Linked DNA regions of Caenorhabditis elegans. The protein of the gene in region 1 interacts with the protein of each later gene in a pairwise test. Each region holds a gene or a part of one and is shown in the gene's direction. Other genes may lie near its edges.

Region 1 (16,174 bases):
CCTTTGTGCGTATTTTATTATTAAATGAAAACGACCATTTATAGGCAAAATAGGTAAATTTATGAAACTTTGAAAGTTCGAAATTCACTTCAAACCAACTTTTTTTGAAATTTCTTTCAGAAACTTTGTTGCAAATTCCAAGCTTTTTCAGAATTTACCAACAACATCCCAATAGGTGCCAGAAGCTTTGAGCAGTTACAGAAAACCTACAGTACCTTTGTTCGTATTTTATTATTAAATGAAAACGACCATTTATAGGCAAAATAGGTAAATTTATGAAACTTTGAACATTCCCAAATCACTTCAAATCAACTTTTTGTGAAATTTTTTTCAGAAACTTTGTTGCAAATTCCAAGCTTTTTCAGAATTTACCAACAACATCTCAATAGGTGCCAGAAGCTTTGAGCAGTTACCGAAAACCTACAGTACCTTTGTTCGTATTTTATTATTAAATGAAAACGACCATTTATAGGCAAAATAGGTAAATTTATGAAAATTTGAAAATTCCCAAATCACTTCAAAGCAACTTTTTTCGAAAATTCTTTCAGAAACTTTGTTGCAAATTCCAAGCTTTTTCAGAATTTACCAACAACATCTCAATAGGTGCCAGAAGCTTTGAGCAGTTACCGAAAACCTACAGTACCTTTGTTCGTATTTTATTATTAAATGAAAACGACCATTTATAGGCAAAATAGGTAAATTTATGAAACTTTGAAAATTCCCAAATCACTTCAAATCAACTTTTTTTGAAATTTTTTTCAGAAACTTTGTTGCAAATTCCAAGCTTTTTCAGAATTTACCAACAACATCCCAATAGGTGCCAGAAGCTTTGAGCAGTTACAGAAAACCTACAGTACCTTTGTTCGTATTTTATTATTAAATGAAAACGACCATTTATAGGCAAAATAGGTAAATTTATGAAAATTTGAAAATTCCCAAATCACTTCAAAGCAACTTTTTTTGAAATTTCTTTCAGAAACTTTGTTGCAAATTCCAAGCTTTTTCAGAATTTACCAACAACATCCCAATAGGTGCCAGAAGCTTTGAGCAGTTACAGAAAACCTACAGTACCTTTGTGCGTATTTTATTATTAAATGAAAACGACCATTTATAGGCAAAATAGGTAAATTTATGAAACTTTGAAAATTCCCAAATCACTTCAAATCAACTTTTTTCGAAAATTCTTTCAGAAACTTTGTTGCAAATTCCAAGTTTTTTCAGAATTTACCAACAACATCCCAATAGGTGCCAGAAGCTTTGAGCAGTTACAGAAAACCTACAGGACCTTTGTGCGTATTTTATTATTAAATGAAAACGACCATTTATAGGCAAAATAGGTAAATTTATGAAACTTTGAAAATTCGAAATTCACTTCAAACCAACTTTTTTTGAAATTTCTTTCAGAAACTTTGTTGCAAATTCCAAGCTTTTTCAGAATTTACCAACAACATCCCAATAGGTGCCAGAAGCTTTGAGCAGTTACAGAAAACCTACAGTACCTTTGTGCGTATTTTATTATTAAATGAAAACGACCATTTATAGGCAAAATAGGTAAATTTATGAAACTTTGAAAATTCGAAATTCACTTCAAACCAACTTTTTTTGAAATTTCTTTCAGAAACTTTGTTGCAAATTCCAAGCTTTTTCAGAATTTACCAACAACATCCCAATAGGTGCCAGAAGCTTTGAGCAGTTACAGAAAACCTACAGTACCTTTGTGCGTATTTTATTATTAAATGAAAACGACCATTTATAGGCAAAATAGGTAAATTTATGAAACTTTGAAAATTCCCAAATCACTTCAAATCAACTTTTTTTGAAATTTTTTTCAGAAACTTTGTTGCAAATTCCAAGCTTTTTCAGAATTTACCAACAACATCCCAATAGGTGCCAGAAGCTTTGAGCAGTTACAGAAAACCTACAGTACCTTTGTTCGTATTTTATTATTAAATGAAAACGACCATTTATAGGCAAAATAGGTAAATTTATGAAACTTTGAAAATTCGAAATTCACTTCAAACCAACTTTTTTTGAAATTTCTTTCAGAAACTTTGTTGCAAATTCCAAGCTTTTTCAGAATTTACCAACAACATCCCAATAGGTGCCAGAAGCTTTGAGCAGTTACAGAAAACCTACAGTACCTTTGTGCGTATTTTATTATTAAATGAAAACGACCATTTATAGGCAAAATAGGTAAATGTATGAAACTTTGAAAATTCCCAAATCACTTCAAATCAACTTTTTTCGAAAATTCTTTCAGAAACTTTGTTGCAAATTCCAAGCTTTTTCAGAATTTACCAACAACATCCCAATAGGTGCCAGAAGCTTTGAGCAGTTACAGAAAACCTACAGGACCTTTGTGCGTATTTTATTATTAAATGAAAACGACCATTTATAGGCAAAATAGGTAAATTTATGAAACTTTGAAAATTCCCAAATCACTTCAAACCAACTTTTTTTGAAATTTCTTTCAGAAACTTTGTTGCAAATTCCAAGCTTTTTCAGAATTTACCAACAACATCCCAATAGGTGCCAGAAGCTTTGAGCAGTTACAGAAAACCTACAGGACCTTTGTGCGTATTTTATTATTAAATGAAAACGACCATTTATAGGCAAAATAGGTAAATTTATGAAACTTTGAAAATTCGAAATTCACTTCAAACCAACTTTTTTTGAAATTTCTTTCAGAAACTTTGTTGCAAATTCCAAGCTTTTTCAGAATTTACCAACAACATCCCAATAGGTGCCAGAAGCTTTGAGCAGTTACAGAAAACCTACAGTACCTTTGTGCGTATTTTATTATTAAATGAAAACGACCATTTATAGGCAAAATAGGTAAATTTATGAAACTTTGAAAATTCGAAATTCACTTCAAACCAACTTTTTTTGAAATTTCTTTCAGAAACTTTGTTGCAAATTCCAAGCTTTTTCAGAATTTACCAACAACATCCCAATAGGTGCCAGAAGCTTTGAGCAGTTACAGAAAACCTACAGTACCTTTGTGCGTATTTTATTATTAAATGAAAACGACCATTTATAGGCAAAATAGGTAAATTTATGAAACTTTGAAAATTCCCAAATCACTTCAAATCAACTTTTTTCGAAAATTCTTTCAGAAACTTTGTTGCAAATTCCAAGTTTTTTCAGAATTTACCAACAACATCCCAATAGGTGCCAGAAGCTTTGAGCAGTTACATGCGAAAAAGCTAATTATTATGCGTTTGCTACTGTGTGTTTTAGGTTTTTTTTCTTCATAGAAGTGATCTTACAATGATGATTATACTTACAGTGTCACCGGCCTTGTGGATATCCGAAACCATTTCGACGGTTTCTATCCCGGTTCCTGTACGAACTTGCGTGTACACTATCATCGCAGCAGACGAATCCTCCGGGAGTCCAGTCCCAAACGAATGGCGTAGAACGTGCTCCCAGTCGACATTCGACACCATCTCATCGTTCAGGCACTCCCAAACGTCTCCAGTAGGTGAATCTGTAATTTAAGAATCTTTAAAAAATCCAGGAATGTTCACTTACTGCTTCTATAAGTGAAGTAATGGCCTTGATCATTTTCTCCTTTGTGTACGATGCAAGCACTCATCCGGAATTTGGGGCCCTCCTGAAGGGGTGTGAAGTGGTTACCCATTACGAGGACTCTAGGGAACGTAAATCGAGCGTGGGTCTTTCTCAGGGTGACGTCATCCATTCGATCTACATGCACGAGAAGACATTTCGGCAGATTATCACTCGTTGCCCATATGGAACCGATAGATTGCATTGCAGATTCCGGATCTTTCGAAATGGTATTCACACGGATGATCTTTGGTAGTTCAAATCCGGTGGTGGAAGTTGATGCGAATATTTTCTTGAAGCATTGGATCAAATGATCAGTTCCATCAAGATAATGGTGCCCACCGACCAGCCCCATACCATCACGGATCCATGTAATGAGCAGAGGCATCATTTCATTGACATCTTGTTGTCGCTGGATAACAGATTTTGAATCGCTCGATTTTCGCAATGATTTTTTTGGAAAAAAAATAGGAAATAATTTTTTTCGGTCGATAATTTGACGTTTCATTTTAAAAAAACGTGGAATTAGTTACACGTGTTTTTGAACGTTCATCAATGTGTAATGTCAACGTGTAATTTTGTATCCAATATAAAATTTCCCACGTTTTCATATTTAAAAAAAAGTCAATTTAATTTTTTTTTAATATTTAAAATGTTAAAATTATTTAAAAAATATTTAAAATGATTTACTCGTATAGCTCTAATCAAACTTTTAATTTCAGACTCATCGCCTTTTTCCCGCCTCCTTCACCCCTTCTCATCACCTCCACTTCGCCCACATCAGGACTCAACGACCCGGCAAACTGTTTTTATCTGTAAGTTTGCCTCTTGTATTTGTTCCGCAGAAAAAATCATATCCCGTGGTCTTAAAAGTTCAATTTCAGACTCTTCGCCTCCTGTCAATTCGTCTATGGCTACTGACAATGTGAGGCTGGAAAGGATGGAAATTGGGATGCAGTTACTGTTGCTCAGGATGGCTGAAAAGGACGGAGAAGCCGAGAAATTGGCTAGAGCTGAGCTTATCACAGTACTGAAGTTTTACTAATAAAATTAAAAATTCGTTTTCCAATTTCAGGAAGCAAACCTCGGCGGCCAGGGCGAGACTACTCAGCTGAATCCACTGGTTCCAGTCTCCAAAGCAACTGCTGAAAAACTTTCGAACGAGCTGGATGAGGTTGGCAGGAATCGAACAGCAAGGTGGTCAAAGTCTGGGAGAACCTGTGTAGTTTCCTGAAGCTCCAGAGGCTCAAGATGCTCTAAAGGAAGCCGAGAAAGCTGTGCAGAAAGAGGGAAATGTAAAAATAAATGATTTTCCCAATTTTATTTGAGTAATTGTTAAAATTTCCGCGGTTTTGATTTGTCAAAAAAAACAAGCCTTTTACATAATTGTTTTAATTTAATTCAACTATTTGTAAATTTTCCTTTCTAAAATCCTCCAAACATCGTGTTTCTTAAAAAGAAAAACTCACCATTTCTCTGGGTTCCTGTTAGGCCTGTTGAATGGGTCGAGATGGGTCGACCCGTGACCCATTTTCGGAAAATGTCTGAAATTTAAAAAAAAACATGTTTGTTTTGTTGTAAAGCGTGTTTTAACGTTGTCTCTTATGCTTGTTTGTATCGAAAATAGGGTATGTTTTTTTAATTGATGAAAATACGATAATTTTATAATTTTCAGCTTTTACACGTGTTTTTTGACAAAAAAATAATTTTTCAAGATTTTGATAATTTTCTGTTAAATTTGGAAAAAAATGGGACATGACCCCGACCCAAATAGTGGGTTGGGGTCGCGTCCCCGACCCAATAGTGGGTCAGGGATGCGACCCCGACCCCGACCCGGCCGACCCAAAAAAAATGGGGCGACCCACTCCATAGGCCTAGTTCCTGTTATCTCCTTCTGTTCCCATAAATCTATATAATCAGTACAAGAAAAGTCTTACCGCTTTCCATAAATCTGTATAATGACAATGAGCTTCCAAATGGTTATTCTTCTTCTTCAGTTGTTCTTCGCTTCTATGAGTATAATCATATGAGTAAATATTCTCCACTGACCGCGACTCGTTTTTCTTTTTTTCCTTTCTCGCATCCATTTGTCATTTAAATTTTAGAAACGCCAGCTATATTTAGATGGCGAATTTCAAAATCTTAAATTTTTTGTTATAATTTGTTATTTTTTCTTCTTCTGTCAAAGATTTCATCACAATCAATCAAAGACACTATATTAACAAGACACCAATTCTCCAAATACATTTTGCGCGTCAAATGTGGTGTTTACGTACAATGTGCAAATTGTCGTGAACATTTCTCGCTCCGAAACAGAAAATTCAGGAAATTGTTCATTTCCGTCTTCAATTTTTTGCCGTCGCTCACTTATGCTGTAAGCTTTTATTTTTTTTTTCTCATTTTGTACTTTCCATGTTCAAATAAGTGTCCAGTAATCATGCGTTTCTTTCTTATCCTGCATTTGCCTTTAAGAGTGGAAATATTCGAATCTTTAGCGCTAAGAGAAGATAAAATAAAGTGCTAAATTAAGCACTTTCTTTTATCTTCTCTTATCTATTTAAGAATCAATTCAATATTTCTAACTTTTGATTATGTTCTTTTTATAATTTAATTGAATTCAATCATAATACTAGAAAAAAATGTCTCCATCGTTGAATTATTCGGATTATCCAATTCCCGCCGAGAAATTAAAAAATGAGAAAAATAGTGTGAAGTGGACCATTTTTATTGCGAAATGCGATTTCTTCCAGAACTAAGTATAGGCATTTTGCTTCCCAGAAAGGAAACAATGGAGGCGTATTGAGAAAGGGTCGTTTAATTGAATCAGAAAAAAAGACGAGTGGCAAAGAGAAGTCTTCATTTATTTCTATTTCTCTTTTTTGTTGAATTTTTTCGACCTCCTCAAGTTCAATCCACTCGTGCTGAATCATATGATGTCCTGTCCATTTTGACTCGATATTTGTCTTTTCAAAATATTCTCACTTCAACAGAACACTTAAATGTTTACAATATCAAAATTTCTTCTAACGTTCGGCAACTTTCTGTCTCGTTGTCATTTTGCGAGTAAATCGGCGGCATGTTCGTTCCACTTTCTTTTTCATCTCTCTTCTCTATTCCTCTTTTCCCTGCTCCGTTCTTCTCATTTTCCTGGAGTAATTTGAGCTGAATTGAGGAAGGCTGTGGTCCTCTCCATTCGCAATTCTTTTCGTAACTATTACACTATACTCGTATTCTATCTCCATAAAAATCAGGCGTATTGAAATTAAAACTTCCTACAAAGTAATCGACCGTTTACGCCTGTGTATAGTTTAACAACAATCGATTCAAATCTGAGAGTGTACAGTTATAGGAGACGCGCGTGTAGCGACGAGTGCTCGTCTGCTTCTCTGCGCTTCTCCAATCATTGCTTTCTCTCTTCACGCGTTTCCGGTGGAACAGGCGAGGTACGGGCAAAAAGCGCGGTGAGGCAGCAGCAAGGTTGAGTTCAAACAGGCGGTGAGAGCATTCCTGAACCTTTCTTCCTGTCTGTCGTTCAAGTGTTTAGACTTTGGATTTTAAAATTCGAATCGTCGATTTCATTGGGTTATTCTATCGATACTCTATTTACTTGTTTGTTTACCAATAGATCATTATCATCCACATTTTCTCACCACTATACAGTTGTTTCCCTTTTTGCACCCATTTAACAAATATTTTTTGTTTTTATTTGTATAAAACGGCTGTAATGAATGCCGTTCCAAAAAATTAACTATCATATCTTTTTCTAATGATTTATTGAATTATCTTTTTCTTCAGATGATGTGAATTGAGTTTCATAAATCGTTTCCAACAATTTCTTCTAACCCTTTCTAAATTTATACGTATACCCCTGAGATTTGAAGAACATGAAGAGATAAGTGAAAAAAAGATTTCCCATCCATGCTCGTACAACTTTCTTGCTTCCACCCCGAAAAAGTTAGGCAAAAAGTTAACGTAGCGTGTAGAAAAGCTTTGAAAATGAGTGATGGTCCTCTGGCTCAGTTTTCATTGCCGAAAATATACAAATTCTAGTGTAGAGTGCTCTCTTCTCGAGTGACTGACGAGTGTGTTGGTTCTTGGCTGCAGCCATCTTTCTTCCCATACTGATTCATGCATATGATTGTTCTTCTCTCAACTAGTACAAGTAGTCGTCATTTTATTCTCTGCAGCATTTTCTTATTCTCATTCAGAGTCATCTTTCTTCCCTACACCTGTCGTCTTTCATCTTTCTTGCTGTCCTTGAAAAGCTCTCATAGTTAACGAACCAGTCCTTTCGATGTCGGCAGTAAGCAGTAATCCTCTGGTACAGTTGATCGTCTTCTTCAATTCTTCTCTCATCTGCCTACAGGATGGCATAAACAAAATTAGCTATCTCACCCTGTTGGCAGATGTCGTCTCAGATATAATCCGCCTTTGCCTTTCCTCTTCTGGCACTCACTTTTCGTCTTTTTTGTATACTCTCAAACTTCCAAATTGAACGTTTCCCTTCTTTTTACATTCAATGACTAACATTTCAGTTTTAGTTTTTATGACTCATGTGATAGCGCAATGGGAAAACTATATGAGAAATAATATTACGAAATTATTCGAAAAATTTAACGTCTGATTTCATTCTAAACAGTTCTTTTTTTTCAATCTCTCAAAAATCATCTCTCTCACCTGATTTTTTTTCAAATTATTTAGTAGATCGGGTACTTGTGTATTATACCCCCGTCATTTTAAAAACGAATTTTTAATTTATAAAATATAACGTGTGGACTTTTAGGCTTAGGAAAACACCATTCCTAAGCCTAACGAGGAAAATGGGTATCACGTTTAATTTAAATTAATGGAAATTTGTTTAATTTTTAAAATGGCGGGGGTATAATACACAAGTACAGTAGATCGTTGTTTCCCCAGCTTTTTGCCCCACGCACAATGTGATTGCTTTCCAGTTTCGTGCTCTTTTCGTAACCCTGGCTCCCATCCGCATTGTGCAATTCGTCCTCTTGCAGAAGCAGCCTCAGTTAGCGGCTGCCATCCTCTTTTCTTTCCGATTCGCCCTGTACATGGAGAAAACGTGAAGCGTTAGTCAATATTTGCGCCTTTTCCGTGAGAGTTAGACACTCTTCGACCTTGAGAGAATTTAGAGAAACAGAGATACCAGCGAGGGCAAGCTCGGAAATCTTTCTACCGCGCGGACGTGTTTGCCACCCGGCGCAAAGCGACGTGAGACTGGAATTTTTGAGGAGAGGATCACACGGAATCGAAAGAATGCAAACTTTGCGAAAGAAAAGAGAAAGATGAGTAGTAGTGTTCATGAGGGTGTGCCGAGAAGTAGAGAAAGTTTTGTGTGCATTCAACATGACATTTGTAGAAAGCAATGGAATTAAAGGAAAGGGCGGAGCCAATTGCCCTTTGGGTGTCAAGGAGGTTAGATCACGACCTGGAAAAGCTTTTTCGGCATAGAAACATGCGTAGAATCACTTGTTAGTTGAAACACGGAATTTCTTCTTTCCATTTTCAGAGAATTTGGCAACATTTTTGTGTCTTTTTATCGAACATTACTGTGAAATATCATGAAATACTTCTTTGGTTTTTAAAAAAGTTAATTCTTAAATGAGAAATCAGGTGTTACCAGTGTAAAGTGTCGTCGATCTTTAGACTGACGGACTGTCATCTATTTGAAATTGAGACAAAGGCAGCGAAAAAGCCATGAGAATCGAATGTCTCTGCCCACCTGGTTTCCCAAAATTCATGACCTCAATTTGAATTTTTTCTGTTTTGTTTTCGCCATCCGCCAGAATTCCATTCTCCGGAATTTTTTCCACAACTTGAACAGACTCTTTTTCGAGTCTATTGTGGTTTGTCAAACATTTTCAATGAATGTGTGACGACTATATGAGTACCTCTCTTGTCATTTTTACTTCCGAAACGACCCATCATTGTATAATAATTGTTGTTCTTCCCCTCTAGTCGATAGAAAATTTGTTGGTCGTGTTGAACCGAAGATTCATTTTTTTTGTTGAAGTTACTTTTTATTGTTCACTTTATTGTTATTTTACAAAGAAAAGTGTTCAAATAGAGAATATTTCGAAATTAAAATTATTGCGAAGAGAAATTGTGTAGTAAGATAGATGGATGGGGTGCCGACAACAAATTATTCATAGTAGCAAAAAATAATATTTTTTCTTTTATTTTTGCTTGTCCATAGAGCACTCTTCGTCCCCCCTTTCTCTTTCCGCTCGTCCTTATTTCATTCATATTTTTTTGAAAAACCAGTATTCTGAGCTTTAAAATAGTTTTATCAGTGACGTTCTTAGTTGTTTATTATCCAAAACATTCATAAGATCACAATTTTTGCTCTATGATTGCAATTTCTCAAAAAGTCCATTACATTTAACGAATGTTTTTCTCTAGACTTACGAATTATTTACATCTTCTCTTCTTGTTCCCCATAGTCAATTTTTAGATAATCCTCTCAATGACGTCCCAATGGCTTAAACAAGATCGTATCCCCTTTCGCTATTTCTGTTTTTGATCTCTACTTTCGTCTCAAATCTTCTACTAAACCATTCATTTTCAGTACTGACTTGTTCTACTCGACATTTGGCTGCTTGTACTCGCCCACTAGCACAATGGATGTGATGGGAACAGCCAGAAGAAAAACTGTGGTTAGACTTAATGTCTATGATATGTATTGGCTGAATGATTACGCATCGAACATTGGCGTTGGCATTTTTCACTCTGGAATCGAAGTTTTCGGTGTCGGTAAGTGAAGTTTTTTTTTAACTTTATACCTAAAAAACAGCTAAAATAAATAATTTTTTTCAGAATACGCATATGGTGGACATCCTTATCAGTTCTCAGGAGTCTTCGAAAACTCACCACAAGATGCGGAAGAACTTGGCGAAACGTTTAAATTCAAAGAATCGATTGTTGTTGGAGAAACTGAGAGATCTACCAGTGACATTCGGAAGCTTATAAAGTCCCTTGGCGAGGATTTTCGCGGAGATCGTTATCATCTAATTTCCCGTAATTGCAATCACTTCAGTGCAGTACTCGCTCGTGAGCTTACTGGCAAGGATATTCCGGGTTGGATCAATCGATTGGCAAACTTGAGTGGAAGCATTCCATTCCTTGAAAAGTGCATCCCACAAGAATGGCTTACGCCAATCGTGTTGCAGGCCTCTGTCGATGAGAAGAAGAGAGGATCAGTAGATTCAGCAGAAGAAGCAACTGAGAAACTAGTGGTTCGATCGCTGAATGGTGAGTCGAAGCAATAATGTTCGAGAGAAATGTGCAATCAATCCTTCAGACTCCCGCACTACAATTCTTGATAATCGAACCGCAAATGGAGCCATAATAATGTCAGCTTCTTCATCAAATTCTGATCGTATCTGCATGTCCCCATCATCTTCTTCTTCTGCTTCATCCTGTGATACTCTTGACTATGACGATCTTATTGTTCAAACACCGTCTACGTTTTCAAGTGAAAAGAAATCTCGTAGCAACTCACCGCCAATTTTCCGCATCTGGAATACTATCAAAGCAACAATAAACGGAACTCAACAGACAGCTCCTACCGGAGCCGCAACTGTGATTCCAGCCTCTTCGGCCTCAAATATTGGAAAAACGAACAGTACGCCTGGCACAACAAGCAATGGTCTTGCAAAACCAACATGTTCTGAATGTTAGAGATGTAAGTTTGTGCTTTTTTTACCAGGGCTGTTGCAAAAAATATTTTCGACCAAAAAAACAAAAAAAAATGTTGTTTCAAACTTGGACAAAACACAAAAAAAATCAAAATTCTCCAAAAAAAGTTCGATTGTTTCATCATGCCAACCGAGGGTTTTTTTGAAAATTTGGTCATTATTCTTCTTTTTAGAACAAAGTTGTTGTGTTTTTGCTCATCATTATAAACAAAGTTAGATTAAAAAACAAATATTTTATGGTTAATTTTCTGAATATTTTTTTTCGATTTTCCAGAGAATGAAAAATCAAAAATTTTCGTAGTTCCACTTTCAATCTTTTGATTTTTTTTTGATTTTCACTGAAAAACATCGAAAATTGATAAATGGCACACCTCTGACTAAAAATAATTTTTTTAAAAACAATTTGTTTTGTTTTTCAGTCCGAAAAAACCAAAAAGAACCAAATAATCAATTTTTGCCAAAAAAACGACAACCCTGTTTCTTACTTGTTAAAGATGAACTATTTGGAAATATTACAGGTTTTATTTATTTCAGATTCCTCGCCGAGAATTCGTTTTTTTCAGTGATTGATAGCTGAAGCCGTCATTCTCGTCGTTTCCTATAATTCCTGATAAATCTTCCTACCCTCCCCTTATTGCCTTTAAGTTTCATTCGAGGTATCTAAAATGTATAAATTTATTTGATTTTCTCTTCACCACTTCCCAGCCAACTCAAATGGTTTTCTTGTGTAACATCGGATAGTTTTTTGGCGTTTTCTTGCCTTTTCTCTAAACGGCTTCATTGAAACATTATATGACTATGTTATAAGTTTTCCCCCCGAATTGTGTGTATTTATGAACCTACCACTTCGTTTCTTTTTCCTTCCTGATCCGCTCATCAGTCCTCATCACCTCTTTGCCTTAAGTTTCCCCAAAATGCATTTTCAGTCAATTCATCTTTCATCGACCCTCATTATATACACAAGTGTCTTCCCTATTTATGAATCTAATTTCGAACTTTTATCAAATGTGATATTTTCTTTTTTATTTGGGAAGTGTACTTCCCAATTATTTCAGAATTTAATCATAAATTCAAAAAAGCGCAACTGCATTCATTCAATCGATAAAGGGACAGAAATTTACTCTTGTTTCTCAAGAACAGGATCATTAAGCATATCCGTACTGTGGAAGTCAGCCGATTTTTCCATTCTGTCCAGCATATTCTCACAAACAACGACAAGTGTTTTGTATTCTTCAATCAGTGTCATGATCTCTTTTTTCGTTTTTTCACTTGATAGATGGGAAACCTGAAAATTAAAGTATAAAGAAAAATATAGTTTCCCATGACAATATCATGTTGCGGCGGTTATAAAAACCTGGAAAACAGCACTATTGCTACTACTCTACGCGCCTACAGTAACCCAATTTGGTCTTTGATTTCAATTTTGAAAACAATCCGCTCTGCAATCTTCTAATGTTTTCATAGAAATAGTAATTATCATTGTTCCTCTTTTAAATACTCCAACGATTTCTTTAAGGGCAATATTAGAATATGAACCTTTTTTAACGTATCAATCACCGGGACCAATTGCATATGAAGATTGGTAACATTATCACGGAGCTCTGCGGATCCAAACAATTTCCCGATCCCGTTCATCCATTCAGCCAATTTCAACTTATCGACAACAAGTGTGACTGAAATTTTTATAATATTTAGGTTCATTGTGTATTTTATTTGAAAATTGAAACAATAATGTATATCTTCTACTTCTCAAATTTGAAAAAAAAACATGGACTCATAGAAAAATGATAAAATTCAAAATACAGTAGATTCAAAATACTGTATGATTTTAGCAAGAATTATTCTCAAACACGGTAACAAATTTCCGTTTAAATGAAAAATTTAATCATACTGAAAGGTCCTAAATCTGAAGTACAAAATCTAAATACTGAAACATAATGTCTATGAATCTGAAAGTAAAAACTCTAATCCGACGACTGATGCGGGAAGCCAAGGACCTAGGTTGGAGAGTTACATAAATAATCCCTAGTGCCTCAGCATAAATACAAAAAGCCAAGTGAAAATTTCGAGGCTTCTGGAGATTCTATATTTGACACCTTTTTGTTACAATTAAAAGCCAAAAATGTGTACGTTCAAGATTTCAAACTCTCGACCCAGCTGGCTCTTGTGGTAGTTAACAAAAAATAATAAATTAAAAACAATTTTCCATAGTGTGTTCTATGTTCTTACTCATTTTTTTCATCAAAGCAGGGCGTGGCATTTGTTTCTTTTGCATTAAAAACCAACAACTACACATTCAGAAATTGTAAAATAAATAAGTTGCTCTAAAAATTTGGAACTTTTTTTCTATTCTTGACGCTTGAAAAAAACTAAATCCCATTAGATCCTTCATTCTCAATTAAACTCACCACCAATGTACTCAAACGTTCTCTTTTTCTGACCAAATGGTCCAACTGGTGGCAGAATCACACTTTGGACTGAAGAAAACGAGTCATTTGATGTACCGAATGAGGAATGAGCTGATGAATTAGACATTCTGTAAGCATTTTATGTGAAAAATAGAAATAATGATATTTTTGTTCTTTTATAGGGAAACCTCGCAATATTTCATTCTCAGTGTTTTAGTATATATTTATCTTGCAAGCTTTTTTATCTCCGTATGTTTACGTTCCAAGTCACATGGTTTTAAATGGCTTTACTTAGATTATTTTTTAAAATTCCACCCGAAATTTTCAACTGAATTTAATGAAGTTTCAGTATAATTCAAATTCGAGAGTTACCTGATGGAAGGGAACAAATATATTAATGTAACTATCTTCTTTCTTTTTTTTTCGTCTCTCCATTTCAATAATTCCGTGAATATACTTCCGGCTAATCAAGTGAGAATAAAGATTCAGTTGTTTGAAAACAAGATTAAAAGTATAGAAAGGGAAGAAACAGAACCAAAATATTGCGCTGCTTTGAAGCTCTCAAAATATCTTTTCACTTTACAATTACTCGAGCTCCTAGTGTCTTTAATTTTTCAAATGAACGAGCTAGTTATCAAAGAGTGTAAACTTCAACCACGGCAAACAAAATGCATCAATTTTTACTCGAATTTACCAAAATGGCTTTTATAATTATAATTATACAATTATAAACAATTAGCAAATTCTCAAGGAGTACACACTGACTCGTAAATCTTCAATGGTCGCGGTCGAGGTTCATTCAATTGCACAACACGGATAGCTCGTGTATTTTTGAAAACTTGAGACGCTGGAAACCTTTTTCAAAGTTGACATTAACTTACCGAGAAGAAGATTTTCTAATCGTACACATGAAACGACGACGATGCTTGCAAAAATTATTGAAATGAGGGTTTTATTAAGATAATTTGCAAATGCATTGAGGAAATTTTCACGTTACTTTTTTTGATGTTATTTCATCAGAAAGAGTTCTTTGAATTTGTAAGTGGAGGTGTATATATTGAAAAAGCAAAGAATGAAAGAGAAAGAAAGCCAATTCTTTTTGGATTCATGTACATTTTTATTTGGAAAATAGAGAGTCAGAGGTCCCTTCACTTCAACGGACATTCTTATTGCATATTTCCGTTGAAAAAAAAACGGAGAAGAATAAGGAAATTTGTGAAGGAGAAGATACTTCAAAATATTATTTTTGCTTGAAATTTTGCACTACGAGGTTTACTTTTTTGTTGGAAACCAAAACGACCTACTCTCTCTTATATTTGTTATTAATTTTTCTCTTGTCACAAAAATTATGTTTCTAAAGAATTTGATGTTTCTGTTTAATTTGATATTTATTCAAATTAGTCTTATTTTTTTATTAAAATAATTACAGCGTTTTCTAAATTAACATTGGCCCTATTACTTGGATTAAGAAACTAACCTAGTAAATAAAATTTTAAAAGATGAGGTTCATCATTTTTTTTATTGGTTAAGGAACGGTAGTTATTATCCATTTCGCAGAATTATCACTCGATAAGTTTCAGCGGTTTCAGATTCCTAGAAACTAGTTTTAAAAGCAAAAGTTGTATTTTTTAATTTGTTATGCCTTTAAGATTTTGAGAATCCTGCACAAATGATCCTGACAATCTTATCAAGAAAATAAAAAAAATAAACATGTTCCTCGTTATAAGAGTTCATTCGTTTTTTTTTTCTCATATTGTTCATACTTTGAAAATTGCTCGGTTTAGGATAAAAAACCGAAATTTGGCAGGAATAAATTTTGATTTTTTTTCAATAAACTTTTCTGAGCGTTGTTAATTTTCCAGTTTGAGAGAGGAGGATAAGAAGCTTTGAATAATAATTAATAATTTAGATAACTGTACAGTAATATCTAGACTCAAAATAAGGATTGTAATTCTGTACTTTAGTTTCCTAGCTCATTTCAGCGGAAAAATTGAGCACGTTGTGCCACCTTCCTCATTTTCCTATATATCTTTATTCTGTTTCCTGAATCAAAAATCAGTGCTCTTCTATTGCTCTACACACTCTCTTCATGTGCTTCCTATTCTCTTCTTAAAATCAACCCGTTAATCTATGCAAATGACCTATTCGATTCTTGTCCAATTATCCTCCCGCTGTCCTTGTTTTATTCTTTCTTTTTATTCCTTTCAGCTCAATTTTTAGTGAAAATTGTAATTCTTGAACTAGTTATTCTCTTCTCATTCCAAATTTTCAAATGAATCTCAGTTCGTGTCTCTAGGCGTGTTTTGTGCAAAAAAGGATGCGAAAGAGTGGATGCACTCATTTTCTTCTAATCGCATTTTGAGCGTCGGAAACGAAATGAAACTCAACTAAAATGATGGTCATTATGAGAAATGGAACTACGATTTCTTAAGTGTATATTCCTTTTTTGAAAGCTTGTGGAGTTAGCCCATAAAGCGCAAGATG
Region 2 (16,488 bases), on another chromosome or scaffold:
ATAATGTAATTATGTAAGTACCCAAAGTTTATGAATTTTTGAATATACACATTTTTTGACATTTTCTAACATTGAAAACGTTTTTTTATGAACATTTATATAACTGCAGAAAACTTTTTTCTCGTGTTTTCCTGACTTATCTGTCAATAAAAGAAGTGAAAAGATGATGTATAACCGGAATATTGAATATATGCCATCTCACTAAAAGTTTCATAAGTGCCTCAAGGCACTTATGAACCCGATCATTCGACGTTTTTTTTTTGTGTCTTTGCTTTAAACGAAACGAGAAGCAAAAGGTTTCAATATCTTGTTATGATATGTGTTTGCGGATCACTTTTTTCGCCACCGAACAGCAGCGGAGAGAGGGGGGAATGAGGAGGAGAAAGGCATGCTCCGCGGGGCACTTCCTGCCCCATTCTTTTACACTTTATCAACCCACGGGTGCCATTAGCCAGTTTTCGTGTGGCGAGAATACAATTTGATTGCCAGTTCCAAAAAAAGAAGAGGCTAGCTGGAACAAAACTTGTTTTGCTTCTCTTTTTTAACGTAAAATTCCACGATGAACTAAGATATAATGTAATACGTGTGAAAATGAAATCCGGATCAACGCGTTGTAGCCTGTGGTTTTCTGTGTTTTCTGTGCTTTCTGTTTTCTGTTCACTGATCATCTCCTGGTTATCTCACCCCTTTATTTGACAGTTACTTGCTCAATATTTATCTATTCTTATCAGTCGGCTCTATTGTCTGTTCTGTTCCCCCCACTTGTATTTTGAGATTCAGTAGAGGCTAGAAAAATTGTATTTCTGCCTTCTGGTTCATCCGGCGAGCTCTTTTGTTTTGAGCTCGAAAGCTTCAGTGTAAAATCACTTGTTTCCAATTCATCAAGATAATTATCGTGATAGCGCGGCGAGGTGAGGAGGGTTCCTGCCGCAAAGTTTGAATGCTTTCCAATTAAGTTTGATGTTAAACCACTTCACTCGAATTAAATTGTTTTATAGGTCATAATATTTTATTGTTTTACATGGGTTTTGGGCTATATTAGTACAATAATTCACATTCAAAAAAATTGCCATCAGTCCAAGTCACTTTATTTCAACTAAAAACTAAATAGATTCCAATCGCAATACGTCACGCAAACGTTACAGATTAATATCTTTTTTCCCTTGATATTGGTTATTTCTTCATTGAAAAGTTTATTACACAAAAACCGAGGTGTTTTCCTCAACAACTTTTGTTCATTTTTCGCGGCCCGCATTACTACTATCAAACATAACGATTATAAATTCAGAGTAAACTTTTTTTTTCGACCAATTGTTTTACAGGGTAGTTAATTTATTTTTCGATGGAAAATTGCCCCTATTGTTAAAAAAATGTATTTAGTTAATTTAACTTAATTTTTAGAGGTATGTATATCTAATTTATCAGTTTTTAAATATTTTAATGTCTAAAATCATGCATCAAATAAATTTTTGTTTTTGAGTGTGTACTCAGTTTTTCTAAGTAAATACAAAAATTATATATTTTTTAAACAGTTATTTTAACCTTTTTTTCCACTAAGAATAAAACATATAACGAGTAAAAATAGTAATCCTAGACAAGGCAAGATACTTTGATTCTCATAAATTATAAATTTCCTATAAATTATTCCTAGCCAATAAATTCAAAAATCAACGTTTTTCTGTTTCTCTATATAATGCTCCGACTCAAAAGTTTACCTTTGCTCCCACCCCCGTTCTCTTATCGATAAATTTTTTGATTAGATTTTTGGCCAGTAATACGTACATTATCAGTTGTGTTTTCTTTGTTCTACACCTTGTTGCCTTTTTCATTTTTTCTTGCAAAGAGTGATGTTGAAAAAGGGCGACCCTTCAAAAACCAGTAAATCTTCTTTCAGACGGCCCCATGTAATAAATGCAAATTGAAAAAAGGATTTTTTCATATTCCAATCATGTTTTTTCTTTCTTCTTTTCTTTCTTTTTTTCGTTTTTTTTCTCTCGAGCCAGTATCAGCTGGTATTCTTCCAGAATTGGCGAGCAAACCTTAAGAAAAAAGGAATGACAGAAAAAAAAATGCACAAACAGCGGCATACCAGCTAATTGTTATCGTCCTCTTCTCCTTCTTCTTTCATCTTTTTCCACACTTGGTGGCCCCCCACCCAAGTCTACAACACATTTGGGTTCGTAGAGCATCCGCGGACCATGCCGCCCCGCTAATCCACTATTGAAACATATCCGTAGGCAATGATCCAGCCAAAGAGGGACCCGAGCTGAAGGGAGCCTCTCTTCTTCCTTTTTCTTCTTTCCTCTTTCTCTTCTTTATTTCATTTGGTGAGCAGAAAAGGCGGCGCTTTTTTTGCGTGTGTGTGTGTCGTGTATATGTCTAGTCCCTTTGAATACTTTTGAATAAGACGTAAAAGTACCGATAGGATGATTCGCATCTAACAATGTCCTATCCAGCTGACGGCGCTCCCTTTTTGCTCCTTAATGTGACATCATCTGGCCATACGGCGTTCTGTTTCGTCCCACTATGCTAATTATTTCGGGAAATGCATATGTTTTAAAATGTTTCCTACTTGTGTTAAATATTATTTATTTTAGACAAAGAATACCGTTTCAATTTAAGCTCCAATAAATAAAATATTTGAATTATTTCAGAAAACTAAAATGACCAAATATCCCAGTGAAACTTAAAGTCAAAAAGATATAAATTTCTATTTTCGCCTCATATTTTGGAATTTGACGATATTTTTTATACGTCAACTGACGGCTTTTCATTGCTTGTATATAAAGGTTATAAGGGTTCAAACTTGCAGCAGTGCCCGAAATTAGTCAAAAAGTTTACTTGTTTTGGAAAACTTAGTAATTTACCAAAACTTAAGCTGATATTTTTTGAAAAATCTAAATTTGTGTTGAACTGAACATTTGGAAAATCTTTAAACTTTACAGTATTTCCTTCATTAGTTTAGCAACCTTTACTAATCTTACACCCCTACAAGCTAATCGAAAATTAGTCTTCCAACTTCTAATAGTCTTGCACTAACAGCAACACTTTGCGGTAACTTTAGCAAAGTTGTCATTTTTAGAGTAAATTATACTTCATAGCGTTCAAACAATTTATGAAAAAGTGTAAAAGTGTGTATTTTCATTGTTTAAACAATATCCAGCTATGATTTCTATAAAAAATGTTTGGCCCAAAGTTCAAAGTCTAAAATTTAAAAAATAGCATTCAAAAAATAGTCTTGCTGCTTTTTTTAGACTTGCACTCCTACGAACCAATTGAAAATTAGTTTTGCAAGACTAATAGAGGAAATATGGCAATTCTGTATTTAGACTTTTTACCATTTCAAAATGTTGAATAGATTTTGACAAAATCCCCATTTTCCCTACACTGTTTTTAATTAATATTAAAGTTTTAATGAAACCCGGTAGCTATTTTTGGAACGTTTAGATTAACATTTCTTATTGCATGTTTCAAAGAATTACTTTTCTAATAAACACAATCGTGTAAACATTATACATCCCGATTTGGCAGTTCTTTCACACGTCTATTTACCAAGGGATCCTTCTCTTTGTGGATCAGATGATTTGTGACATCTCGCGAATTCCAATAAGATGACGCACGGCTACAAAATTCTTGATTAACAAAAACGCACATCGTGTTGATTAAAGGATTTCCGAATCTAGATACCTCTCTCTCGCTCTTTTTCTTTTGCGTCAATTTTTTTGAGCTGTCAAATCGTTTGTCCTCAAAACCCGAGCTCAAAAAAGATCAGCTCAATTTGTTTAAGTAGTGCACTTTTTTGATAGGATTGTTTTCCCGTTTTCTCAAGTGTTGCTTCCCATTCTCCGGCTGAGCAATTTTTGAAATTTTTTAGTGAGTGAAGTTTAAAAATCAAGCATCTAGATTTTGATGACGAAATAAAACGAATTTTTTACAGCCAAAAAAAAACGAAGGGTTCACATTGCAGCTTCCGGTTCCAGCTCATCTTTTGCTCTTGTTCTTTCGTTTCTTTTTATGGTGGAATGAGTTGAGCCGAGTTCAGAAAGAAGCGCGGAAAAACGGGAGACGCGCGCATCAGCATAGTAGATGTTCATCAATTGCAAATGAGAATGTTAATGCTCGGCCGGGTTCACTGGCGCGGGGTGCACACGCCAATGTATCATTCTGAATGGTTTCGTATCGTGCCCTTTTTTGACTAGGAATGTGTGGGGGAGAAGGATATGGGGATAGAGAACGGCGCCAGAGATAGACGGCTACCACCAGGACGACAAAGGTTAGAGTCAGACAGATGGAGCACGTTCCGAATATCATTTTTCACCGGCTCATTGTCCATTACGTCATGTTCCTGCAATTCCAACAAGCTTTTGGGACTCATAAAAAGTTTTTGATCAGTGTTTGCGCAAGGTCACCTATCCAATTTGGGTTGTAAATTTCCAATTTTTCGGCTGCTGCGCGAGATGTATCTCATGGTTTTATTAGGAAAATCCATCGGTTACCTCATCTCCTGAAACTGACGTGAAGAGCCAAACTTCTAAGCTTCACTCTCAGTTTCGTCTTTCTACTTTTTCCCCCTCTCACTTCCCGTTTTTGTTTATTGTACAAGAATTAGATAGTTGGGAACAAAGTGTCTTTTGAAAAGTGTCCGCTACATACATATGTCATGTACAAGAGATTCGCCTCGTGCCCCCCGTTTTTGGGGGCCCCCAGAAACTACTAATCCCTTTCCAACAGAAGCTCTTTTGGCATTGATGTGCTCTCACACCACACAAAAGCAAAGCACCCAATGAAATTGCACTCTGTCTCACTTTGCCAGCAGGGAAAAAAATAACTTTTGAAAATCAAGTTTGATTTCTTACTTAAATTCGGTTTTTTTAAGTTTATAAAATTTGAGAAACTTCCAATTAAAATCTCCGCTTCCAGTACTTTCTCAATTCACTGACGTTTTTCGTTTACTTTTCGTTTACCTACCCATCCGATTATGTTCGCCTTTCACCTTTCCTTGTATCATTGCGAGTGAAAAGTTTTCCAAAACTGATTGCCTCATAAATTTTTTGATTATTCTCCCTCACTCCGTCTTCGTTATTGACAATAACTTTATCGATTACCTGCTTTTTATCAATTGAGCGTGTTTTTCAGATGTTCTAAGAAATCTTCAGACTTGGTTGGAAAATGACAGCTCCAGATGAAGAAAGCGCTGTCAAAGTTGCTATTCGTGTACGCCCGTTTAACAAAAGAGGTAATATAATTTATTATTAAAAATGGTCATTGTGATATCAAAATTTCAAAATATTTCAGAACTCGACTTGAAAACAAAGTCTGTGGTTCGAATTCAAAAGGAACAATGTGTGCTTCATCATCCAATTGAAGAGTAAGTAGATTAATGAGAAAGCAAAGAAAAATTACCTGATATCTATTTTATTGTAGGAAAAACTCGAAAACCTTCACATTCGATCACTCATTTTGCTCCACTGACCCGCATAGTTATGACTTCGCAAGTCAAGAAACAGTGTCCTATCACCTTGGATCCGGTGTAGTGGAGAACGCATTTTCGGGGTACAATGCATGCATTTTCGCTTATGGACAGACTGGATCCGGAAAGTCTTACACAATGATGGGAACCCCTGATCAGCCGGGAATCATTCCTCGTGTTTGTAATGATGTGAGTTTTTTTGTTCGTTTTTTTTTCCAAAAATGCACTCCTAGTGAAATTGAAAGCATACCTGTTTTTTTTTCAGATATTCACGAGAATTCAAGAAACTAGCAATTCTTCCCTGTCGTTCAAAGTTGAGGTGTCTTACATGGAAATTTACAACGAAAGAGTTCGAGACTTGCTTGACCCAAAAAAGTAAGCCATTCGTTTCTCTCAAAAGCAAAAACATAAAACAAACGTCTTTGAAGATCAAGCAAAGCATTGAAAGTGCGTGAGCATAAAATACTTGGACCCATGGTTGATGGATTGTCGATTCTTGCAGTCAACTCTTTTGAGGTTTGCCGATGCTTGAAAGAGTTTTTTTTCATCCACTTGTTTATTTTTTCCAGCAAATTTCAAACCTGCTAGAAGAGGGAAACAAGTCAAGAACTGTCGCTGCAACTAACATGAATGCCGAAAGCTCAAGATCACATGCAGTTTTTAGTTTGATTGTAACACAAACTTTGCATGATTTGGAAAATGGGTTTAGTGGCGAGAAAGTTGCCAAAATTTCGTTGGTTGACTTGGCTGGAAGTGAGAGAGCTGGGAAAACGGGAGCAGTTGGAAAACGGCTCGAGGAAGGTGGAAACATTAACAAGTAGGTGAAACTATGGAATTTTATATACATTTTCTTGCGAAGTGGCTTAAAAAATAAGTAAAAAATTGGAGGAATTTAGTTTCTATTTTTCTCCGAAATGATCTTGAAAAAAAAATCGATTTTAAATTTTCAGCTGATGTTTTTTGTTAAAAAGTATGTTATTGATAATCTCAATTTCATATTGATTTTTCAAATTGAAGAAAAAACTTGAAGTCACTACCAACTTTCAACTTAACATTTAACAGGTATATGTATTTATTAATCAAAAGCTTGATTTCAGATCACTAACTACACTTGGTATGGTAATTTCTGCTTTAGCGGAAAGAAATTCCAAAAAAGACAAGTTCATCCCATATCGAGACTCTGTTTTAACCTGGCTGCTCAAGGACTCACTTGGAGGAAATTCAAGGACAGTTATGATTGCGACCCTTTCTCCAGCTGCCGATAACTATGAAGAAACCCTCTCCACACTGAGATATGCAGATCGTGCGAAGAAGATTGTCAACCACGCAATTATCAACGAGGATCCGAATGCAAGAGTTATTCGGGAACTTCGCGAAGAAGTGGAGACTTTACGAATGCAGATTACACAAACTAAAAAAGAGCACGCTGAAACTGAAGAGCTTCGTGAAAGGCTTGCAGAGAGTGAACGTCTTGTAGCTCAAATGAACAAGTCTTGGGAGGAACGTCTTAAAGAAACTGACACGTTGAATAAAGAACGACAGAAGGATCTGACGGAAATCGGAATTTCTATAGAGTCCAGTGGAATTAAAGTTGAGAAGGATAGGTTTTATCTGGTGAATATGAATGCCGATCCATCATTGAATGAGTTGCTAGTCTATTATATTAATGTGAGTTGAACATTGCGTTTTTTGTTTCAATAAAATTATATTTTCTAGGGATCAGCAATTATTGGAAACTCGGAGGAGCTAGAGACAAGTAGAGACTCTGGACTATCAATGACATGCAGTGATTCTTCGAGAAGAGATGATGACAAAGGTATTGTATTTTTTTTCAAATTTTTTGATCTACCATTTTTTTTCTCTTTTCAGAACGAACTAGTATTGTCCTCCGAGGTCTAGGAATCATGAGACGGCACGCAAAAATGACTGTTGAAGAGTATGGCGGGCGTCTACGCCTGTTTGTAGCCCCAATGTCTTCGGAATGCAGAATCTGTGTTAATGGAAAGCAGATAACTGAAAGGACGCTTCTTAGAAATGGGAATCGGCTGCTTGTGGGCATGAATCACTTCTTCAAAGTTAACTGCCCGAAAGTGATGGACATGGAACAATCCATTATGGAGGACAGCACCATGTTCGACTACAATGACGCTTGGCATGAGGTTAACGATGCGAACCCCATCAGTTCCGCCGTTGACCAATACATGGAGAGTGTTACACTCAAGCACCAGGTTTGCGAGATTTCTTTTTTCGTTGCAAAAATCTAATTCCTACGTAATTAAATTTTTATCGGTTTTTTTTCAGGAAGACAAAAAGGCAGCTCTTGAGCAACAATACGAAGCATTTGAGAAATACATTCAGTCATTGACTGCCGGCGGGTTTACCCCATCTACGCCAATGACTCCTGGTTTTTGTCTGCCTACTCCAATCACTACACCTACCGGACTACCCCCATTCCCTTTCCCAGCAAACCCAAAACAATCTGTGAAAAGCAAATTCTTCTATTGGGCACAGAGAAAGTGAGTTTTTAAATAAATGTCAAAATTTTGAATTTTCAAAAATATGAATAATTCCAGAGAAGAAATGTTCGCGGAGTCATTGAAAAGGCTGAAAGCAGATGTTATTCATGCAAATGCTCTTGTACGGGAAGCAAATATGATTTCCAAGGAGCTCAATAAAAAACCAAAGCGTCAAACCACATATGATGTGACACTGCAAATTCCAGCTTCAAACTTGAGACCGATTAAAATCAAAGCTGGGCAATTTGTTTGTGAGCCAGTGATAGTCGTTCGTAGAGAAGGAATGAGTGGAAGTCAATTCTGGACTGTTTCTCAGCTTGAGAGCCGTCTTGTTGACATGAGAGATACTTATAATGATATGCTAAATGGATTCACAAGGTTCGAGTTTATTCATTGATCGTTACGAATTCAATTTACATTTTTTCAAGAACCAGCGAGTCTTTGAACGGCACACCTCATGCATCACCAATGAAGATAGCCGGAATTCCAATGAATGAGTGCTCATCTCTAGTCATTGACCCATTCTTCGAAAGCCAAGAGCACCATAATTTAGTTGGTGTTGCAAATGTGTTTTTAGAAGTGTTGTTCCATGATCTCCGTCTCGATTATCAAGTAAATCAAATCGCGGGAAGATGTTGATTTTTTAATGTTCTCTATTTCAGGTCCCAATTATTTCGCAGCAAGGGGAAGTTGCTGGGCGTCTTCATGTGCAAATTTTTCGCGTGGTAACTCAGGAAGAGATGGATGAAACTTCCAATAATGGACCAGAGACACTTCTTGGCAAAACGATCACTTGTCGGGTACGAATCAAGCGCGCATCTGGTCTTCCGGAAAAACTATCAAACTTTGTGTTTTGTCAATATTCATTTTTCAACATTTCTGAACTACTTGTGGTTGCCCCAGCAAACGAAGCTGCTAATCATTCATCTTGTCCAACTACTGTGATTTTCGAACATCAAAGAGTGAGTTTGCATAACCTAATAACCATTGATCATTAAAGCAAATTGCAGGATTTCAATGTGATGGTCACGGAAGAATTTATGGAGTATGTTAGAGATGATGCGTTGTCTATTGAAGTATGGGGACACAGAATATGCGGACATCCTGAAGAGCGAATTTTGGACACTGATGAAAAATCCAAGTCTTTGCAAAACCGATGGATGGAAGTTACCAGGCGTTTAGAAACGTGGTCAGAGGTGCGAGAATTGAATGATAATGGAGATTGGACGAGTGTGGAAGTCCGACATGCAGATGACGTATCGACTGGCGGTATATACCAATTAAAGCAAGGTCAGCAGAGAAGATTGGTTGTGGGTGTGAATGTTGCTGCGCCTGATGGGTTGCCTATCAGCATTGATTGTATTACTTCTGTTAGCATTGGGGCGATTATGGCTGTAAAATCAACGAACAACTTGAAATCGATCGACAGCTACCAGGAAGAAGACTTGGATAAGATTAGAAAACAATGGTCACATGCATTAAAGTCACGACAGTATTATCTTCAACATCAACTTGACTCTCTTTCTGCCAAATCAGGAAAATCCGAGGCTGAGCTGGACCGTGAGCATTCTCTAATGGGACAATGGGTAGCATTGACTGAGGAAAGAACAGCCGTCGAATGTCCAACACCAAATTCGTGTATACCAGGAGCACCATGTGATTGGTATGTGACGCGATTGAGCTTAAACTGAATATATCTTGATAATTTGCAGGATTGCCCCTGAAGGAGTGGAACGACATATCCCAGTATTATTCTTAGACTTAAACTCCGACGATATGACCGGTGAAATGACAAGTGATGAGAATGTGCCGCGTGTTGCTGGCTTACACTCCATGCTTCCACTTGAGCCAGAGGGCAACTTGCTGATGGTTCCAATTCAGAAGTATGATGACAAAGATCATGTGGCAACATGTTCCTGGGATTCATCAGTTCATGATTGTCCGGCACTCAATGTTCCTACTAACAGCAATGATCGTGTGTACGCAATTGTCAAGGTATTAGTACCTAAAATAATATTCAAAAATAAAATAAAATATTTTCAGATTATGGTGAGACTATCACACCCATGTCCAATGCACATTGTGCTGAGAAAGAGAATATGCTTACAAATTTACAAAAAACCAAGCCTAACAGAAAAGTTTTTCAAGAAGATGCTGGGCACCGAGACTATTCATAGAACTTCTTTATACTATGATGTAGTTGCTCATATTCCGAAGGTAAAAAATGTAACCAAACAATTTTCTGAAACATATTTTTCCAGTCTTCGCAAGATATGGAAGACCGGTCTTCACTGGCAATGATGGCTGCGAAGGATACATCTCACGACGAGCAGGGCGGTGGCTCATCTCGAAGCTCCACTTCATCCACGGAATCACAACACCAGCAGCAGACCCTTAATTACATTGAAGCCTACACAAAAAGTATTCAGGCGGTATGTCCAGTCAACGGTTCTTCGAAAAATATAATATTTCAGGTCGAGTCAATGTTGAAACTGGATAGACTTCGCCAAGAAGTAGCTATTACCAATATGCTTACTAAGAAGGAAAGGCTGCAACGTATTCAAAATTTCGGACTACCAATGCATTCTTTGAGGATGAACAGAGCAGTCAGTTTGCCAAATGCAATTTCTAATGCTGGACAGGTAAGTTGGAAGTTTTAAATATTGCTATAGTTGATTTAAGAGCATCTTGAAAAAATTTCATTTTTTTTTTCAGATTAATGGAGTAGAAAAACGATCCGACACGCCAATGAGTATATCCTCCTCCAATTCAATGGGTATGTTCTTTTTTTTATTGATTTCTTTTTTTTTTTGAATTATTGACTCGCCGCTGGTTTTTGAATCGCCCGGAAACGCGTCGCTTCAACTTGGTTCTTTCTACTCACCTTTACAGATCATTTAACCCAGAAATGTGTTTTCATGAAAAAAAATACATACAACTAATGCTTCTCACTTCTAATTTTTCTTCGCTATCTATCCCCAAAAAGTGATATGAATTGCACCTTTGATTGCAGTTGGGAATCAAACGATCTCGATGAAAAATGCACTTTCTGCACTGCGGATTGTTTTTAAAAAGCATGCAGAGCTTCTCGAAATTCTGTTTCTTTTCAACAACTTGCTTTCTAGAGTGAGAAAATGTGAAACTAAGCATTATTCCAAAAACTATTCCGCAATCATTTAAGAACTAATCACACAATTCTCTCCGCTTCTTGTTCTCACTTCACTTCCCCCTCCATTTCAACCACTAACATACTTTTCAGCGCGACCTACATCTCTTAATCTGAAACCTCTTTGCATTGGAAAGTGTAGGTTTTGTTTGTACCGTGCCCAAGAGATAAGCTGCTGTTTTATTTTAGTTCTTTCCTTTTGCATGTTTTTGCACGTTCAGTTATTGCAACCTATTTTCCGTTTTTTCGAATGTTTCAGCATGGTAAGATTTTTAAAAACATGGAGTAAAAATATTGCCAGGTTCCGTCTTCATACATACTTGAAATTCAAATTTTTGAAACAATTGTCCAATTCTTGTTAGAGTCAACTTTGTCTCAACCTTGTCTGCGTGAGAGAATGTTCCAAAGCTTTAGGAAAAGTTTAATTTAATATGTGTTACAGTAGTGTCAAAGAAATCAACTTATAGTGAAACGGTATCTTATTTTCAGTGACGAGCATCATAAGCCCGTACAACGATAAACTGACAGGGATTATGGAAGAGTCTAACTCTCTGAGAATTGAGGTAATTCATTTCAAAATGTACAAATTCTATTAACATCCAATGTTGCAGACTGTCCCAACCCGTTCTTCCACAGTACCAGAAACAATGTGCTTCTCAGCGGCTAAGAAATTGGTATAGAGATAATATTATAGTGTTCTAGCCAGTAGTATTTTTGAAATTTCAGTCACCAACGGAAGATGTAAAAAACGGAAATGAGAATAGCAGCCCTACCCGTACTGCAACAAATGGCACGTCCATGGGAGTTAACCTCTGCCTTCCACTAGATAACAACAACCAATTTGCGTCAAAAAAAATGCAAAATGGTAAGGTTATTTTAATACTGTAACATATAAGACATATTACATATTACATTAGATACTTGTCCTAAACACATAATTCCATTTCAGGAGACCTGGTGGATCTCAAAATCAACTAAATACGATGCCTCAATAGTACATGTCAACTTATATTTTGCTTTAAAATCGGGACAAGAAACTGACTAAACCAACATGATAAACACGATTCATTTGACTGCAATGAAGTCAAGATATTCTTAATATTATTGTATAACTGCTTTACCGGCTGTGACTTTTTCTTTGCTTTTTCATTCCAGTGGTTTTTACTCATTTGTGCTTTGTTTTTTCTTCACTGCAGGTGTTAGACCGCAATCCTACTTTGTAATTTGTTCTACAATGAATAAATGAAATTTTCATACTTTTGTTGATTTTCAAATTGAGATTCAAATTACATCCTAATAGATATAAACCCATATTTTTGAAAGTAGACACATTGAAGAACAGAAAGTAATGCTGGGAAATTTTTTAAGCTTCTACGTTTCAGTCTTTTGTGATTTGGAAAATTTTGAACAACACGTAAATTGACTTTTTTACAAGGTCGAGTGAACTGAACACTATTGCTAGGTTTGGCAAACGGCGTTGTGCTGAAAAAAAAATTCGGCACAACGTCATGTATAGAGCAACTACAGAGGATGGAAAAAAATTATTACGTTTTAATCAATTCGTTTCCAAATATTTTTCGTGCATCCCATCAATTTCTACTGATCTACAGTACACAAGTTTTAACAATTTTCGAAAACACTGTGTTTTTGAGAAAGTGACAAAAAAGGTGAAAAGGAGGGAAAGTAAACAGATAAATGGAAGGAGAGAGCAGGGGCCCATTCAAATATCAGGAGGTAATCAGTTTCAAATTTTCGCGCGGGGTTTTCGTTGGAGCGCTATTGTTATCTTTATCAGCAATCTTTTTATAACAACTTTTGGATATTCAAATATTGAAGGCCGTTACTTGGAATCAAGGCAGCACGTATTTTCGGATTTTTTCTTTATCTGCCGATTTTTAGATTTAACTTTACCCTTTTCATATCTCAAAACCATTTGTTTTCTATTCTTTATTCTAAAAAATTTTCCTTTCAAAAATCAACTACCGCAGCCCAAATGACCTTTAGAAACATAACATTTCCAGTAAACAAATTTCATTTCTTTCGTGCCCCCAACCGTTGGCATTTAGCAAAGGAGCACTGTTTGAGAACATTCGCATCAATTTTTTACACAATACGTTTTTGACCACACAAAAATATATTTAGAGTGCATCAACTGTTACAAAAATACAATCGCATTTTGCATTTGCTTTACAGGAACAAGCCGATGGCAAAGATGAAGCTTGTTGTTTTTCTGGCTTTTTTGGCATCATTAGTCGTTGCTGACTTACTTATTCTTCGAGATCGTCTGACACCGGCAACGTGAGTTTTTTAAAAGAACTTTCATTGAAGTTTGTACTAGGATCCCAAGTATCATAGTAGAACTTTTATACATTTTTTGAAAATTTTTACAAAAATTTTAAAAAATTGTTTCAAAAATTGGTAGTTACTCAGTTTTTGGCACTTTTTGTAAATCTTTAATTAAAAAAATTATTTGGCAGTTTGCCGCATCTTATTACCCAACTTGAGCAATTTATGAACCAACTTTAGTGTCTCGCAACTTTTTTTAAAACCATCTTTAACAAAATCACACTTAACTTTAGCAACTTTTTTAGTTTAGCCAATGTTAGGAAGTAAAAATGTTTGTGACCATCCACAATTTTAACCTACTTTACCCAACTCTAGCAACTTTTGCAATTGTCATTGCTAAAATTGCTCAAGTTGGCGTAAAAGTTGCGGGATTTTGCCGAGTAGTAATTTATACTTTTGAACATCATAAAAAATTTATAAAGGTTTTTTGAAAGTTTCAACTCAGACATGGGGTCATTTTGGCAACATAGAAATGATTTTAATTAATTTTCCTACTGGCGCTGCATTAAAAATCCAAGTTTGCCTGTTTTTTCTACAAAAAAATAGTAACGTTGCGGCCAAGCATCCTAATTCTAAACTCATGAAACAATTTGTAACTCACATATTCTGCAGAATGGAATTCACCGAAAACATCAAAAGATCGTGTACCAGCATTGATATCATCCCAGGATCAGATCCCAACTTCAACATTACCTATATGATTGAAATGACTTGCAGGAAGCAAAGTGATAGCCATACAATGTTCTCAGAATCTTTGAATTGTTGTTTTCCAGACATGCGCCAAAAGAGGTTCACGGAATACTTTCCAGTTTTGAGTTGGCTTCTGAAACAGCACAATAGCCGCAACATGGAAAAAGAAGATCAAAAATATATCGATATGTTGGAATTTTCAGACAAGATGCTATACCTCGAAGAAGTTCTAGAAATGCCAAGTATCAATCTGCCGTTTGACGACATCGCAAATCTTATCAACTGGAATGGAACTGTAAGAATTGGTTATTACTGTTTTGAGAAATATAATGTTTATAGGAAATTATTCGCTATTTCAATTATCCGTTGGGAAAAATTGAGGACGCGTGGGCGGCATTGGCAAAAAGAACTCTGCAATGTGACAAAGCAAATCGACTTGAAATGATAGTTTGTGGAAATTTCAATCCAACGAGAAGAATGGGGTTGCACAAAATAGTAAGAGAATGTTTTGAATTTTGAAATTGAAGAATCGTTTGGTGTTTAGAATTAACATATCGTTTATCCTCTTTTAGTATCTTGTTTCTCAATTTTAAAAGTTTATATTAAAGATAAAGCAGACACAGCGGGGAAACTGTTAACAACCGGTGAAAAAATAGCCAAATATCGTTGTAAAACTTTTTCAAAAAATTTTGGAATTCTTTTTTATTGAAAGTCAAAAATTGGCAATTCCTGAGTTTTTGCCACTTTTTCAGGAGCACTGTCGCATGTTCGAATCTCTACAGTTTTTTGTAAATGTGGATATGAAACTTAAGTAGACCCCAAAATTCGAAGGAATATTTTTGGTTGAAGAAAAAAGTGGCAAAAACTGAGTTAAAAATGAGTTATGACCACTTTTTGGCTGTCAATAGAATTTTTCAAAAATTAATTGAAAGGCTTTACTGTGTCAAATGGCCACTTTGGAACCATAGGAGCGGTTTTAATATTTTCCCATTGCCGCTACTCCATTTTTAACAATTATTTAATATATTGATTGTATTTGTTTTATTGGTATCTGAAAAGCTAACTGAGATATGAGCTGTCAAGATGGGTAGTCGGGTGCAAGACTGATTGAGGAAATATAAGACATCTGTGGGTATCAAGTGTCACATTTTCTTGCAAGTGGAATCCCTGACAATCAATATATTAAAGGTCGCCTCAATTGGTCATTTCTCATCACTCGGGACGGTGTTCAAATATCGAAACATTTCTACACACGCGGTGTTGTACGATGGCAAATTATTTTCAATGGATTCCTGTCGTTTTCTGGTTTGTGATAAAACATCAAACTGTAGTCATTCAAAGTTTCAGAAAAATTACTACGAATGCCAAATATCTCGGAATACTACTTGCACGGTTACCAGCCCCGAAAATTGTCCGGTCGAGGTTGTGATGGCTCCTACTAAAGTTTTTGTTAGAGAATATGTTGGTGATTATAGTGTTGTCGCAGCAGTCGCAGAAGTATGTGACTGGCTTTAAAAATATTGGAATTCAAAAAAAAAATCGTCTCAGGCTTATCAAACAATGATTCATGGACATTATTCAACTCATCAAATGGGCATCTCGCAGCACGTTTCTTTATTGCTCCCAATTGGTTCGTATGCAAAATTCAATAACGTCAAAGTTTTTGGAAAATCACTTAATGCGTTCGATCATTTTGCAGTTAACACAGAGGCGGTGAGTTGAAATTCTTATTAAAATTAACAACAAAACATGTTTATTTAGGACCACCTCCCAGTGAGCCATGAAGATCTCGATAAACTGGAAGCCAATTATGGAAACACTGAAGAGGTCCTCAGGCATCGTGCACTTCTCAAATCAGAGTTCTCACAGTTCCTCGACAGAAACTTGATGTTAATAATCATCCTTCTTACTATTGTTTTTCTTGTTACTGTGACCATTGCTGGAGTCAGCATTACATTGCGCAAAAAGAATTTCCAATCACTCCCAGTGGTTCTGTATTCTAACAATAAGGTCACTATTATTCAATAATTATATTTTAATTATGTTTTTATCGTTGTTAACTTACATGACTAGTTGTTTTATTAAGTAATAATAAAGTTACAATTGTTAGTGTATCACAAACTTTTGGAGATCTAAGTAGAAAATATTAGATCACAAATCGATATGTCTTTTGACCGCCCGGATTCCAAAAAATGCAGAAGGTCTTGGAGATTGTCCAGCATGATCTCGTTCTCGTTTTACAATATGTGAAAATGTGGAGACGCAATTTCCAACAAACAAGTCAGCCCTTCCCATGATGG

The links.
Region 2: the proteins of F36D4.5 (region 1) and klp-4 interact in a two-hybrid assay, tested with the Caenorhabditis elegans proteins (one large-scale study listed by BioGRID).

Annotation. Positions count from the first base shown.
Region 1 is NC_003283.11:9,415,482-9,431,655, reverse strand, and holds F36D4.5 (Desumoylating isopeptidase 1 homolog), read left to right. Parts: upstream 1-5,838; 5' UTR 5,839-5,939; coding exon 5,940-5,944; intron 5,945-6,885; exon of another isoform or gene 6,886-7,044; intron 7,045-8,532; exon of another isoform or gene 8,533-8,738; intron 8,739-10,153; coding exon 10,154-10,338; intron 10,339-10,401; coding exon 10,402-10,836; intron 10,837-10,885; coding exon 10,886-11,265; 3' UTR 11,266-11,269; intron 11,270-11,816; 3' UTR 11,817-12,399; downstream 12,400-16,174. Other genes in the region: F36D4.6 (Resolvase/invertase-type recombinase catalytic domain-containing protein), read left to right, coding at 4,481-4,597, 4,646-4,804; F36D4.1 (BLOC-1-related complex subunit 7), read right to left, coding at 12,400-12,567, 12,819-12,955, 13,691-13,818, 14,572-14,600. UniProt on the Caenorhabditis elegans protein: Protease which deconjugates SUMO from some substrate proteins. Has isopeptidase but not SUMO-processing activity. Collaborates with ubql-1 in the export of ubiquitinated proteins from the nucleus to the cytoplasm.
Region 2 is NC_003284.9:3,167,344-3,183,831, reverse strand, and holds klp-4 (Kinesin motor domain-containing protein), read left to right. Parts: upstream 1-5,130; 5' UTR 5,131-5,169; coding exon 5,170-5,236; intron 5,237-5,295; coding exon 5,296-5,368; intron 5,369-5,424; coding exon 5,425-5,659; intron 5,660-5,735; coding exon 5,736-5,845; intron 5,846-5,898; coding exon 5,899-5,986; intron 5,987-6,039; coding exon 6,040-6,287; intron 6,288-6,567; coding exon 6,568-7,138; intron 7,139-7,186; coding exon 7,187-7,286; intron 7,287-7,339; coding exon 7,340-7,698; intron 7,699-7,771; coding exon 7,772-7,986; intron 7,987-8,043; coding exon 8,044-8,364; intron 8,365-8,414; coding exon 8,415-8,598; intron 8,599-8,648; coding exon 8,649-8,948; intron 8,949-8,996; coding exon 8,997-9,649; intron 9,650-9,698; coding exon 9,699-9,981; intron 9,982-10,029; coding exon 10,030-10,203; intron 10,204-10,247; coding exon 10,248-10,418; intron 10,419-10,460; coding exon 10,461-10,628; intron 10,629-10,701; coding exon 10,702-10,762; intron 10,763-11,245; and 11 more. Other genes in the region: C15C7.6 (Glycoprotein), read left to right, coding at 13,356-13,450, 14,111-14,223, 14,272-14,483, 14,528-14,683, 15,377-15,493, 15,536-15,685, 15,737-15,901, 15,950-16,216; pfut-1 (GDP-fucose protein O-fucosyltransferase 1), read right to left, coding at 16,340-16,488.